Stegostoma tigrinum: one gene and its partners. The protein of the gene in region 2 binds, or shares a complex with, the protein of the main gene of each other region. Links are inferred from orthologs where the notes say so. Each region holds a gene or a part of one and is shown on either strand. Other genes may lie near its edges. The genes, in order: eukaryotic translation initiation factor 3 subunit E, eif3i and eif3d.

Region 1 (3,745 bases), on a different chromosome or scaffold from region 2:
TTGCATTCACTGTTCCTATTTTAAAAGCCAAATAAACCACTTAAGGTATTCTTATACCTCATCAATTTGCCCCATCACTTTTGAGGATTTATGATTTTTTTTCCTGTAGCTGTGACCTATTTTATAGTTACTGCTATGGAACTTTGAGAACAGGATTAGATCCTTCTATTCCTCAACCCCACCTCCAACATTTTGTTACCTGTCTCTGATGTGGAACTCAAACTCATATAGCCACATTTACTCCATGTGCTTTTGCTGGTAGTACTTACACAACTCTATGATTTGCCATCATAAAAATGTCAACCAATCCACAACATCCAAAGACTTTTGGGGATACTTTTCAAATTAAAAATAATGTCAAAAATCACACGACACCAGGTTATTGTTGAACAGGTTTATTTGAAAATGTAACTTTCGGAGCTCAGTTCCTCCTCCAGGCGTAGGGTGAGAGAGAATGTATGAGGCGCAGAATTTGTAAGCAGAGAAGTACAACCCTAAAACTGGCAGTGCCTTGTTGACTCTTCAATCAGTTAGGACAGAGGCTACTGTTTGAAATTAAAAATAAATATTGAAAATAAAAAAAATAAATATTGAAAATACTACAACCAAGGATCCCAGCATACATTCAAAACTGCGTTAAATGTCTCACAATACATAATTATATACCAGACAAAGTGAAGCCAATTTTCAGTCTACAGTCACTCTTCTTGTCAAAAATCTGAAATTAGACCAGTCTGCTTGCAATTTTTGACCTGCATTCAAGTTTCCAGCCTCATGTTTAAACCATCACTACAAACCTCCTATTTCTACTTCTGTAACATAACTCCCTCAGCTCACATGCTGCTAAATCATGCTCAAGCTTCATCCATGTCTTCTTTTCATCCAGACTTGACTACTCCAAAACACTCCCAGTCACTCTCCACTTTCCAACATCAATATAATTTAAAGTCATCCAAAACTCTGATGCCCATGGTCTAATCTGAATTTGGTCTATCATTCCAGTACTTGCTCACCTTCTGCTTCCTAATCAAGCAACAACTCAACGTTAAAATTTTTATCCTTGTTTATAGGATGTCTCCACAGGATCTTACTCTCCTTATCGCTATAATTGTCTTCAACTCCACGACCGTCCAAGATCTCTTCTCTTCTCTAATTTGGGCCTCTGATATCCCCAATCATCATTATTCCACCATTGATGGCGAAACCTTGGTGATTTCCTGGGTGATGACCTCCACACTCTGACTTATATCAGAGATAGGACAAAATAAAGCAGGCACCTCAAAGTACAGGAGACATACTATCCATCTGTGACGCCTTTGCAAAACCCTACAAAGCCAGTAGTAAGAAAACTGGCCCAACAGCAGGATTCATTCCTGATCCAGCATCAAGGCACGAATCAGTCAAAAGCCAGCTCTCTGCTGGGCAGGTCATATCACTCACCAGACTCACAAAGCCATTTCACTCAAAAACACAGTCTTACAACACTCCAAGGAGGACAGGGAAATGTTTTAAAGATATCCTCAGAGCATCCTTGAAAAAAAACCAAAAATCCCCACTAAGTCAAGGGAGTGCCCAGCTTGTGATGAATCAAAAAAAGAAGTTTCACTCAAAAGATATCGTCGAAAACTTGGAGAAGCAAAGTTGAGGCATCAGAGTAGATGCACAGAAATCTCGAAACTTGACCTGCTCAGCGTGTGGCATTGTCCCGGCAGGTCGTGCATTGCGTTTATCAGCCATGTCAGAACACATCAAACTGGAACGGAAGCAAGTCGCTTGCTGATCTTGGGAAACTGCGAAAGCCAAGCGATGGTTAGACCTTCAGCTAAGGTCAGAAATTCCCTCTCCCGCCTATAACTTATTCGCATGCATTACTGCATTCACTTGAACAAATTTTTGGTCATCTGACCACGGGCATCTCGTGACGAGGGAACGCAGAAAAGCGCGAAAGGCGATCGGTAAAGCCAGATGCTCCGGTGTGGGAGAGAGATACTGGGAACTGCAGATACTGGAGAATCCGGGACAACAAAGTGTGAAGCTGGATGAACACAGCAGGCCAAGCAGCATCTCAGGAGCACAAAAGCTGACCCCTTCTGAAGGGTCTAGGCCCGAAACGTCAGCTTTTGTGCTCCTGAGATGCTGCTTGGCCTGCTGTGTTCATCCAGCTCCACACTTTGTTATCTCCGGTGTGGGCATCAGGACTCCGCACCCTCAACATAGCGTAGTGCCGGGGGCGGGCTCCTCACTCAGGGCTAGGCCTGGCCCTGGGCCTGTTTCACGTGCAGGGTCCTGAGAAGCCTCGAGCTCCGCTCTGGTACCGTTACCGGACTCGCGGGGGGAGGTGATCGGAGACTTTACCTCTTTAACTGACAGGAACTCAAGCAGCGGGAAGACCAGGTGCCGGTCCAGGAAATTAGCGATTCGCATCGTTAGATCGTAATCCGCCATTTTGGCAAAAGGAAAATTCAAACGGAAGCAACTTTATTGACAGCGACTTGTGCCAGGCACGGCCCCGCCCATCGAGCGCCAGGCCCCGCCCATTAGTAAAACCCCGCCCTTCCCCTGTCAATCTAATACTGCTCGAGAGGAAAAACTTTTACCCCGCTCTTCCAGGACACTACCCCCAGGCCTCCTAACCTCCCTCGACCTCTTCATCTCTAACTGCCGTCGAGACATCAACCGCCTCAACCTCTCACCCACTCCAACCGCTGCCCCGCAGAATGGGCAGTCCTCTGCTCCAACCCCAACCCAACCATAAAACCCGCGGACAAAGGAGCTGCAGTTGTCGTGTGGCGCACGGACCTCTACATTGCTGAAGCCAGATGCCAACTCTCTGACGCAACCTCCTACTGTCCCCTCGATCATGACCCCACCCCCGAGCACCAAACCATCATCTCCCAAACCATCCACAAGAAAAAGTTGAAGAATCCCTCTTCCATCGCTTTGCTGGCCCTAAACCCCACCTCTTCCTCCGTTACATCAATGACTGTATCAGCGCCACCTCGTGTTCCCATGAGGAGCTCGAACAGTTCATCCACTTCACCAACACCTTCCACACCAACCTTAAGTTCACCTGGACAATCTCTGATACCTCTCTCTCCTTCCTGGACCTCTCTGTTTCCATCTCTGGCAACCACCTGGAAAGCAATATCCAATTCAAGCCCACCAACTCCCACAGCTACCTAGAATACACCTCCTCCCACCCACCTTCCTGCAAAAATGCCATCCCCATTCCTAATTCCTTCGCCTCCGCCGCACCTGCTCCCAGGATGAGGCATTCCACTCCCGTACATCCCAAATGTCCTCGTTCTACAAGGACCGCAACATCCCCCCCTCAGTGGATGAAAACGCCCTCAACCCTGTCTCCCGCGTTTCCCACAACTCATCCCTCACACGACCTCACCGCAATAACAACAAAACCAGATCCCCCTCCTCCTGACATACCACCCCATCAACCTCTGAATCGAACACACCATCCTCCAACACTTCTGCCATCTGCAATCCGACCCCATCACCAAAGACATTTTTTCCTCCCCACCCTTATCTGCTTTCCGGAGGGACCACTCTCTCTGTGACTCCCTTGTCTGCTCCAAACTCTCCTCCAACCCCACCACACCTGGTACTTTTCCCTGCAACTGCAGGAAGTGCTACACCTGCACCTACACTTTCCCCCTCGCCCCCATCCCAGACCCCAAGAAGATGTTCCACATCAAACAGAGGTTCACCTGCACATCCACCAATGTGGTAT
Region 2 (3,745 bases):
AGAGAGGAGCAACTGACCAGAGGGAGGGAGTGAGTATGGGTGACCGCAGGGAAGGAGGGGGGAGAGAGAGTGACTGCGGGGAAGGAGGCGGGGGAGCGAGTGACCTCGGGGAGGGAGGGGGGGGGAGAGAGAGTGACCGCGGGGAAGGAGGGGAGAGAGAGAGTGACCACGGGGAAGGAGGGGAGAGAGAGAGAGTGACCGCGGGGGAGGAGGGGAGAGAGAGAGTGACCGCGGGGAAGGAGGGGGGAGAGAGAGTGACCGCGGGGAAGGAGGGGGGAGAGAGAGTGACCGCGGGGAAGGAGGGGGGGGGGAGAGAGAGTGACCGCGGGGAAGGAGGGGAGAGAGAGAGAGAGTGACCGCGGGGAAGGAGGGGGGGAAGAGAGTGACCGCGGGGAAGGAGGGGGGGGGAGAGAGTGACCGCGGGGAAGGAGGGGGGGGAGAGAGTGACCGCGGGGAAGGAGGGGGGAGAGAGAGAGTGACCGCGGGGAAGGAGGGGGGAGAGAGAGTGACCGCGGGGAAGGAGGGGGGAGAGAGAGTGACCGCGGGGAAGGAGGGGAGGGAGAGAGTGACCGCTGGGGAGGAGGGGGGGGAAGAGAGTGACCGCGGGGAAGGAGGGGAGGGAGAGAGTGACCGCGGGGAAGGAGGGGAGAGAGAGAGTGACCGCGGGGAAGGAGGGGAGAGAGAGAGTGACCGCGGGGGAGGAGGGGAGGGAGAGAGTGACCGCGGGGGAGGAGGGGGGAGAGAGAGTGACCGCGGGGGAGGGGGGGAGAGAGAGTGACCGCGGGGGAGGGGGGGAGAGAGTGAGTGACCGCGGGGGAGGGGCGGAGAGAGAGAGTGACCGCGGGGGAGGGAGAGAGTGACCGCGGGGGAGGGGGGGGGAGAGAGAGAGAGAGAGAGTGACCGCGGGGGAGGGGGGGGGGAGAGAGAGAGAGTGACCGCGGGGAAGGAGGGGGGGGGGGGGGGAGAGAGTGACCGCGGGGGAGGAGGGGGGGGGGGGGGAGAGAGTGACCGCGGGGGAGGGGAGGCGTGTCCCGGGGTCTGGCGGGAGGCGGGTGTTTTGAAGATCACTCACCGACGGTCGCCATAGCAGCGGGTTACTTGATCCCTGACCCCGCCCAGGGTCATTTCCGGCGGCGCCAGACACATCATTTCCGGGTTCTCTACAGGCTCCGCTGTCAGCATGGTGAGTGTTGGAGAGTAATAATGTGGGTATTAGAGGGACTGAGGGGGCACGGCGAGTGTTAAAGAGTAATAATGGGGGGGTAATAGAGGGACTGAGGGGGCACGGCGAGTGTTAGAGAGCAATAGAGGGACTGAGGGGGCACGGCGAGTGTTAAAGAGTAATAATGGGGGGTAATAGAGGGACTGAGGGGGCACGGCGAGTGTTAGAGAGCAATAGCGGGGGGTAATAGAGGGACTGAGGGAGCACGGTGAGTGTTGGAGAGTAATAATGTGGGTATTAGAGGGACTGAGGGGGCACGGCGAGTGTTAAAGAGCAATAGTGGGGGGTAATAGAGGGACTGAGGGGGCACGGTGAGTGTTAGAGAGCAATAGTGGGGGGTAATAGAGGGACTGAGGGGGCACGGCGAGTGTTAGAGAGCAATAGTGGGGGGTAATAGAGGGACTGAGGGGGCACGGCGAGTGTTAGAGAGTAATAATGCGGGCATTAGAGGGACTGAGGGGGCACGGCGAGTGTTGGAGAGTAGTAGTGTGGGTATTAGAGGGACTGAGGGGGCACGGCGAGTGTTGGAGAGTAATAATGCGGGCATTAGAGGGACTGAGGGGGCACGGCGAGTGTTGGAGAGTAGTAGTGTGGGTATTAGAGGGACTGAGGGGGCACGGCGAGTGTTGGAGAGTAATAATGCGGGCATTAGAGGGACTGAGGGGGCACGGCGAGTGTTGGAGAGTAGTAGTGTGGGTATTAGAGGGACTGAGGGGGCACGGCGAGTGTTGGAGAGTAGTAGTGTGGTACTCTGGAGATTTAGAGGTTACAGTGAGTATCGTTAATTTGATTTGTTGTAGTCCCGTACCTATGTACAGTGAGAAGTTTTCTTTAAGCAATACAGGCAGATCATAGCAAACACACAGATCATAAGGTGTTGAGTTTGAGCGAGACATACAAGGTTATGGCTGCAGAGAAGGTGCATAAAAGCAACATTAACATAAGGTTTGAAGTTAGAGAGGACCATTCAGTAGCCTGATAACAGAGGGGAAGAAACTGTTCTAGAACCTGTTGGGGCTTGTTTACAAGCTTCTGTATTTTCTGCCTGACACAGACGAGTTTGGAAAAGAGAATTGCAAGGGTGGGTGGAGGATCGGGATCTTTGATGTTGGCTGCCTTTCTCCAGCATGCGTAGATGGAGTCCATGGATGGGAGGTTGGCCTGTGTAATGGTCTGGACTGTGCACACAACTTTCTGTCGTTTCTTATGGTCCTGGGCAGAGCAGTTGCTGTACCAAGCCATGATGCACCCAGATGGAATTCCTTTTTAATGTGCATCTGCAAAAGTTGGTGAGGGTCCTTATTGACATGCCAAATTTCCTAAGTCTCGTGAAGAACTCGAGGCATTGTTTTGCTTTCTTGACTGTCGCAACTGTGTGGGAAGACCAGGACAGCTTGTTGGTTATTGCATTGCTTATTAAAGAGTAATGATGGACATAATATAGAGAGGTAATTGTATGTATTGAAAAGTAAGAATGCTAATACTATTTAGATCAGGATGACTGTTGCAGGGAGCAAGAGAAATATATTTCTATGGTACAAAACTGAGTTGTGGCCCTTAAACCTTGAGATTTACAGACTTTTAGTATTTTATCAATATGTTGAAATTGAGTAATTAATGGAGCTTAATAAAAACCAAAAGAGCTGCTGCAGTTGCTGTAAATCAGGAACAAAAACAAAGTTGCTGGAAAAGCTCAACAGGTCTGGCAGTATCTGTGGAGAGTTAACGTTTCAGGTCCGGTGACCGTTGCTCAGAACTGGAATTAATGGAGCTTGTTTCATTGCTGTAATACATCATGTTTTAATTTTTTTTTGCAGAAGCCCATCCTGTTACAAGGTCATGAAAGATCAATCACCCAAATTAAGTACAATAGAGAAGGTGATTTGCTGTTCTCTTGTGCAAAAGATACTGTAAGTATAACTTACAAATGATGGAATGTTGTGATAACTTATTCCATTAGTTTGCTATCTTGGCTGCAATATTCACATTGTGCATGTGTGTAATTACAACAGAAAGACTTGGGAGCAGAAGTAGGTCACTCGGTCTGTGAAGTCTCCTCTGCCTTTTCTGGCTGATGTGATCATTCTCAACTCCACTTTTCTGCCTTTTGCCTCCACAATCTTTGATTCCCTTGCTGACTAAAATCTGTTTATCCCAGCCTTGATGGCCCCTACAGTAAAGAATTTCACAAATTTGCTAACTTCTGAGAGCGTGTTGGCTCAGCAATTAACACTGATACCTCACAGGGCCAGGCATCTGGGTTCAGTTCCACCCTCGGGCGACTGTCTGTGTGGAGTTTGCACATTCTCCTCGTGTCTGCGTGGGTTTCCTCCGGGTGCTCCGGTTTCATCCCACAGTCCAAAGATGTGCAGGTTAGGTGGATTAGCCATGCTAAATTGTCCTTAGTGCCCAGGGATGTGCAGGCTTGGTGGGTTAGCCATGGGAAATGCAAGGTTACAGGGATATGGTGGGGTGTGTCTTGGTGGGATGCTGTTGAAAAATAAAAATAGCGTCATTTTCTAC
Region 3 (3,745 bases), on a different chromosome or scaffold from region 2:
TTCTTAAATCGCCTCTAAACATCTGGCTCCTTCCTCCAAAACTGTGACATTTTGATTACTCACGCTATCAACGCCCTTTATAATCTTGTATATCTGTCAGATTTCACTCCCCACTCCCTCAGCCTTCTGTGCTCTCACGAAAACAGCCCAAACCTATCCAGTTTCTCTGCTTCACTGAATCCCTCCAGCCCAGGCAACATCCTGGTGAATCTCCTCTGCACCCCATCCAGGGCAATCACATCCTTCCAGCTATATGGGGACCAGACCGACACACAGTGCTCCAGCTGCGGCCTAACTCATATCTTACACAGCTCTCTCACACAATCGTATCCTTCCTCTACACTGGTGATCATAATTGCACGCAGTCCTCCAGCTGCGGCCTAACTCATATCTTACACAGCTCCATCATAACTACCAATGTCTTGACTAACAAAAGCAAAAATCCCAATATTTAACCACCTCAAACACGTGTTGCCTTCAAGGTTCTGTGGACACACACACCAGGGCACTTCTGACCCTCTGCACCTGCTAGGGTCTCACCATTTTTTGTATCATCCCTGGCCTTGTTAGTCTTCCCAAAAGGTATCACCTCACACTTTTCAGGATTAAATTCCACTCGCCCATAATTCAGCCCATATGACCAGCCTGTCAATACAATTCTGTACTGTAATGTTTACCTCTTCGCTATTTACTATGCCACCAATTTTTGTGTCATTTGCAAACCTACCAATTAAACCTCCTACATTCACGTCTAGATCATTAATACGCTGTAAAAACAGTAAAGGATCCAGCACCAAGCCTTGCATTCACCACTGGATACAAGCTCCTAGTCACAAAAATAACTCGTCAACTATTATACCCCGCCTTCTGCTGCTGCTAAGTCAATTCTGGATCCAAATTGTCAAACTGCCCTGGATCCCATGGGCTCTTGCTTTATTGACCAGTCTACCATGTGAAGCCCTGGCAAAACCATTACCAAAATCTATGCAGACTACATCCACTGCACAACCCTCATACACACATCCAGTCACCTCCACAAATCACTGAATCAAATCTATCAGGCATGATCTCCCCCTAAATAATGTCATGTTTCATTAATCTTTGACTCTCCAAGTAGAGATTAATTATGTCCCTCAGAATTTCTTTTCAAGAGTTTCCCTACCACTTGTGTCAGAGTCAAGGTGGCCTATTGATGTCCAATTTACCCAGACCACCTTTCTTGAATAACGGGGGTGGGGGGGGGCCTGTGCCCGGATCCCCGGGGGGGGGGGCTGTGCCCGGATCCCCGGGGGGGGGGGGCTGTGCCCGGATCCCCGGGGGGGGGGGCTGTGCCCGGATCCCCGGGGGGGGGGGGGGGGGCTGTGCCCGGATCCCCGGGGGGGGGGGGGGGGGGGCTGTGCCCGGATCCCCGGGGGGGGGGGGGGGGGCTGTGCCCGGATCCCCGGGGGGGGGGGGGGGGGGCTGTGCCCGGATCCCCGGGGGGGGGGGGCTGTGCCCGGATCCCCGGGGGGGGGGGGGGGGGCTGTGCCCGGATCCCCGGGGGGGGGGGGGGGCTGTGCCCGGATCCCCGGGGGGGGGGGGGCTGTGCCCGGATCCCCGGGGGGGGGGGGCTATGCCCGGATCCCCGGGGGGGGGGGCTGTGCCCGGATCCCCGGGGGGGGGGGCTGTGCCCGGATCCCCGGGGGGGGGGGCTGTGCCCGGATCCCCGGGGGGGGGGGCTGTGCCCGGATCCCCGGGGGGGGGGCTGTGCCCGGATCCCCGGGGGGGGGGGCTGTGCCCGGATCCCCGGGGGGGGGGGGGCTGTGCCCGGATCCCCGGGGGGGGGGGGGGGCTGTGCCCGGATCCTGTGCTCCTGTCCCTCTCCGGGCACCAACCTGCGCCGACACCGCTCAGGCGGCTACATCAATGCAACTGGCCAGTGCCCGGCGGAACGACAACTCAATGCCCGCCTCAGGCGCTAGACAAACGCAGGGCGAGGGCCAGGCCCGAGGCCTCAGGCCCGATCCCCGGTATTGGTTCGGGGCCCGACGCCCGCGGACAATCCCCCCCCCGGCGCCCCCCGCGGGCCCGAGCCGCCGCCTCTTACCTGGTTCCCGCCGCCGCCGCCGGATCCGCGAAGCTTCACAGACACCAACAACCGGCCGCCGCGCTGTCGTAAAGCGCCGTAAACCGGGGCCGTTACCCGGCAGCGAAACGCCGTAAAACGTCCAAACCCGCGGGGGCGCCACACGGCCGCAAACTGCCGTAAAGCAGGAACACAGCAACGGAATTTGCTGGAAAAGCTCAGCAGCGTCTGTGAAGGGAAAGAAAAACCCGAGTTAAAACGTTTTCGGGTCCGGCGGCCCTTCCTCAGTGTCTACAAACTGCCGTAGTCCGGCACGGGAAGGAGGTCGTAAGGTGCCGTAAAACGGAGCCGCCACGTTGCGGCAGATGGGTGCGACAGCGCTGCCGTAAAGTCGGTCGCAAGACAGTGCCCCGTAACTGTCACGTTTTCCGCTCAGACTCGGGGAACATTCTCCAGCGGATCCTGGGGGGCGATGATTCGTTTAAAAGAGGCGGCGACTTTCTGCCACACCACCGTAAAGGAGGTTCGGGTCCACACCACGACAATGTCGTGAATGTGCTGTCGGATTAAATCGTTTTAAATAGCAGACCTGAAGACGGCCCCAAGGCCGGAGCCGTGTTTCTCTCGGCGCTTTGGTTTAGATAAATCCCAACGGGCACCAGCTTTGATGGAAATCGGGAATTGGGCGCCGCGGGTTGAAATCCGCTTTACGGCAGTGTTCCGCGGGCCGCTTCCACACGGAGCTGGCGAGCGGCGCCAAGATGGTCCGCACCGTGACTGAACGCCGCTCCCCCCACCCACCCCACACAGCGCCACCCAGGTGGGCGGGAGAGGAATGGCGGCACAGCCACTGCCCCAGGGACAGTACTAGAACCAGTGGAGAGAATGTGAGCGTGTGTGGGGACCGCTTTGCAGAACACCTCCGCTCAGTTCGCAACAAACTACTGCACCTCCCAGTCGCAAACCATTTCCACTCCCCCTCCCATTCTCTTGATGACATGTCCATCATGGGCCTCCTGCAGTGCCACAATGATGCCACCCGAAGGTTGCAGGAACAGCAACTCATATTCCGCCTGGGAACCCTGCAGCCCAATGGTATCAATGTGGACTTCACCAGTTTCAAAATCTCCCCTTCCCCTACTGCATCCCTAAACCAGCCCAGTTCATCCCCTCCCCCCACTGCACCACACAACCAGCCCAGCGCTTCCCCCCCACCCACTGCATCCCAAAACCAGTCCAACCTGTCTCTGCCTCCCTAACCGGTTCTTCCTCTCACCCATCCCTTCCTCCCACCCCAAGCCGCACCTCCATCTACCTACTAACCTCATCCCACCTCCTTGACCTGTCCGTCTTCCCTGGACTGACCTATCCACTCTCTACCTCCCCACCTATACTCTCCTCTCCACCTATCTTCTTTTCTCTCCATCTTCGGTCCGCCTCCCCCTCTCTCCCTATTTATTCCAGTTCCCTCTCCCCATCCCCCTCTCTGATGAAGGGTCTAGGCCCGAAACGTCAGCTTTTGTGCTCCTGAGTTGCTGCTGGACCTGCTGTGTTCATCCAGCCTCACATTTCATTATCTGAGAGAATGTGAACCACTGCCAGAGAGGACAAGGATAGAAACAGGGAGACGAGTGAGCTCAGAGGTTTATTAAAGTAATGAGGGGCTTGGTAAGGTGAATA

What was found.
Region 1: eif3i (region 2) and eukaryotic translation initiation factor 3 subunit E share a complex: the UniProt entries of both Homo sapiens proteins name them as parts of the eukaryotic translation initiation factor 3 (eIF-3) complex. The link is inferred for Stegostoma tigrinum from reciprocal best matches to the Homo sapiens genes EIF3I and EIF3E.
Region 3: eif3i (region 2) and eif3d share a complex: the UniProt entries of both Homo sapiens proteins name them as parts of the eukaryotic translation initiation factor 3 (eIF-3) complex. The link is inferred for Stegostoma tigrinum from reciprocal best matches to the Homo sapiens genes EIF3I and EIF3D.

Annotation. Positions count from the first base shown.
Region 1 is NC_081358.1:265,791-269,535, reverse strand, and holds the start of eukaryotic translation initiation factor 3 subunit E, read right to left. Parts: upstream 2,489-3,745; 5' UTR 2,446-2,488; coding exon 2,356-2,445; intron 1-2,355. UniProt on the Homo sapiens protein: Component of the eukaryotic translation initiation factor 3 (eIF-3) complex, which is required for several steps in the initiation of protein synthesis.
Region 2 is NC_081377.1:45,627,042-45,630,786, forward strand, and holds the start of eif3i (eukaryotic translation initiation factor 3 subunit I), read left to right. Parts: upstream 1-1,062; 5' UTR 1,063-1,072; coding exon of another isoform or gene 1,073-1,085; 5' UTR 1,086-1,180; coding exon 1,181-1,183; intron 1,184-3,039; coding exon 3,040-3,132; intron 3,133-3,745. Other genes in the region: tmem234 (transmembrane protein 234), read right to left, coding at 1,073-1,085. UniProt on the Homo sapiens protein: Component of the eukaryotic translation initiation factor 3 (eIF-3) complex, which is required for several steps in the initiation of protein synthesis.
Region 3 is NC_081391.1:24,613,312-24,617,056, forward strand, and holds the start of eif3d (eukaryotic translation initiation factor 3 subunit D), read right to left. Parts: upstream 2,651-3,745; 5' UTR 2,087-2,650; intron 1-2,086. UniProt on the Homo sapiens protein: mRNA cap-binding component of the eukaryotic translation initiation factor 3 (eIF-3) complex, a complex required for several steps in the initiation of protein synthesis of a specialized repertoire of mRNAs.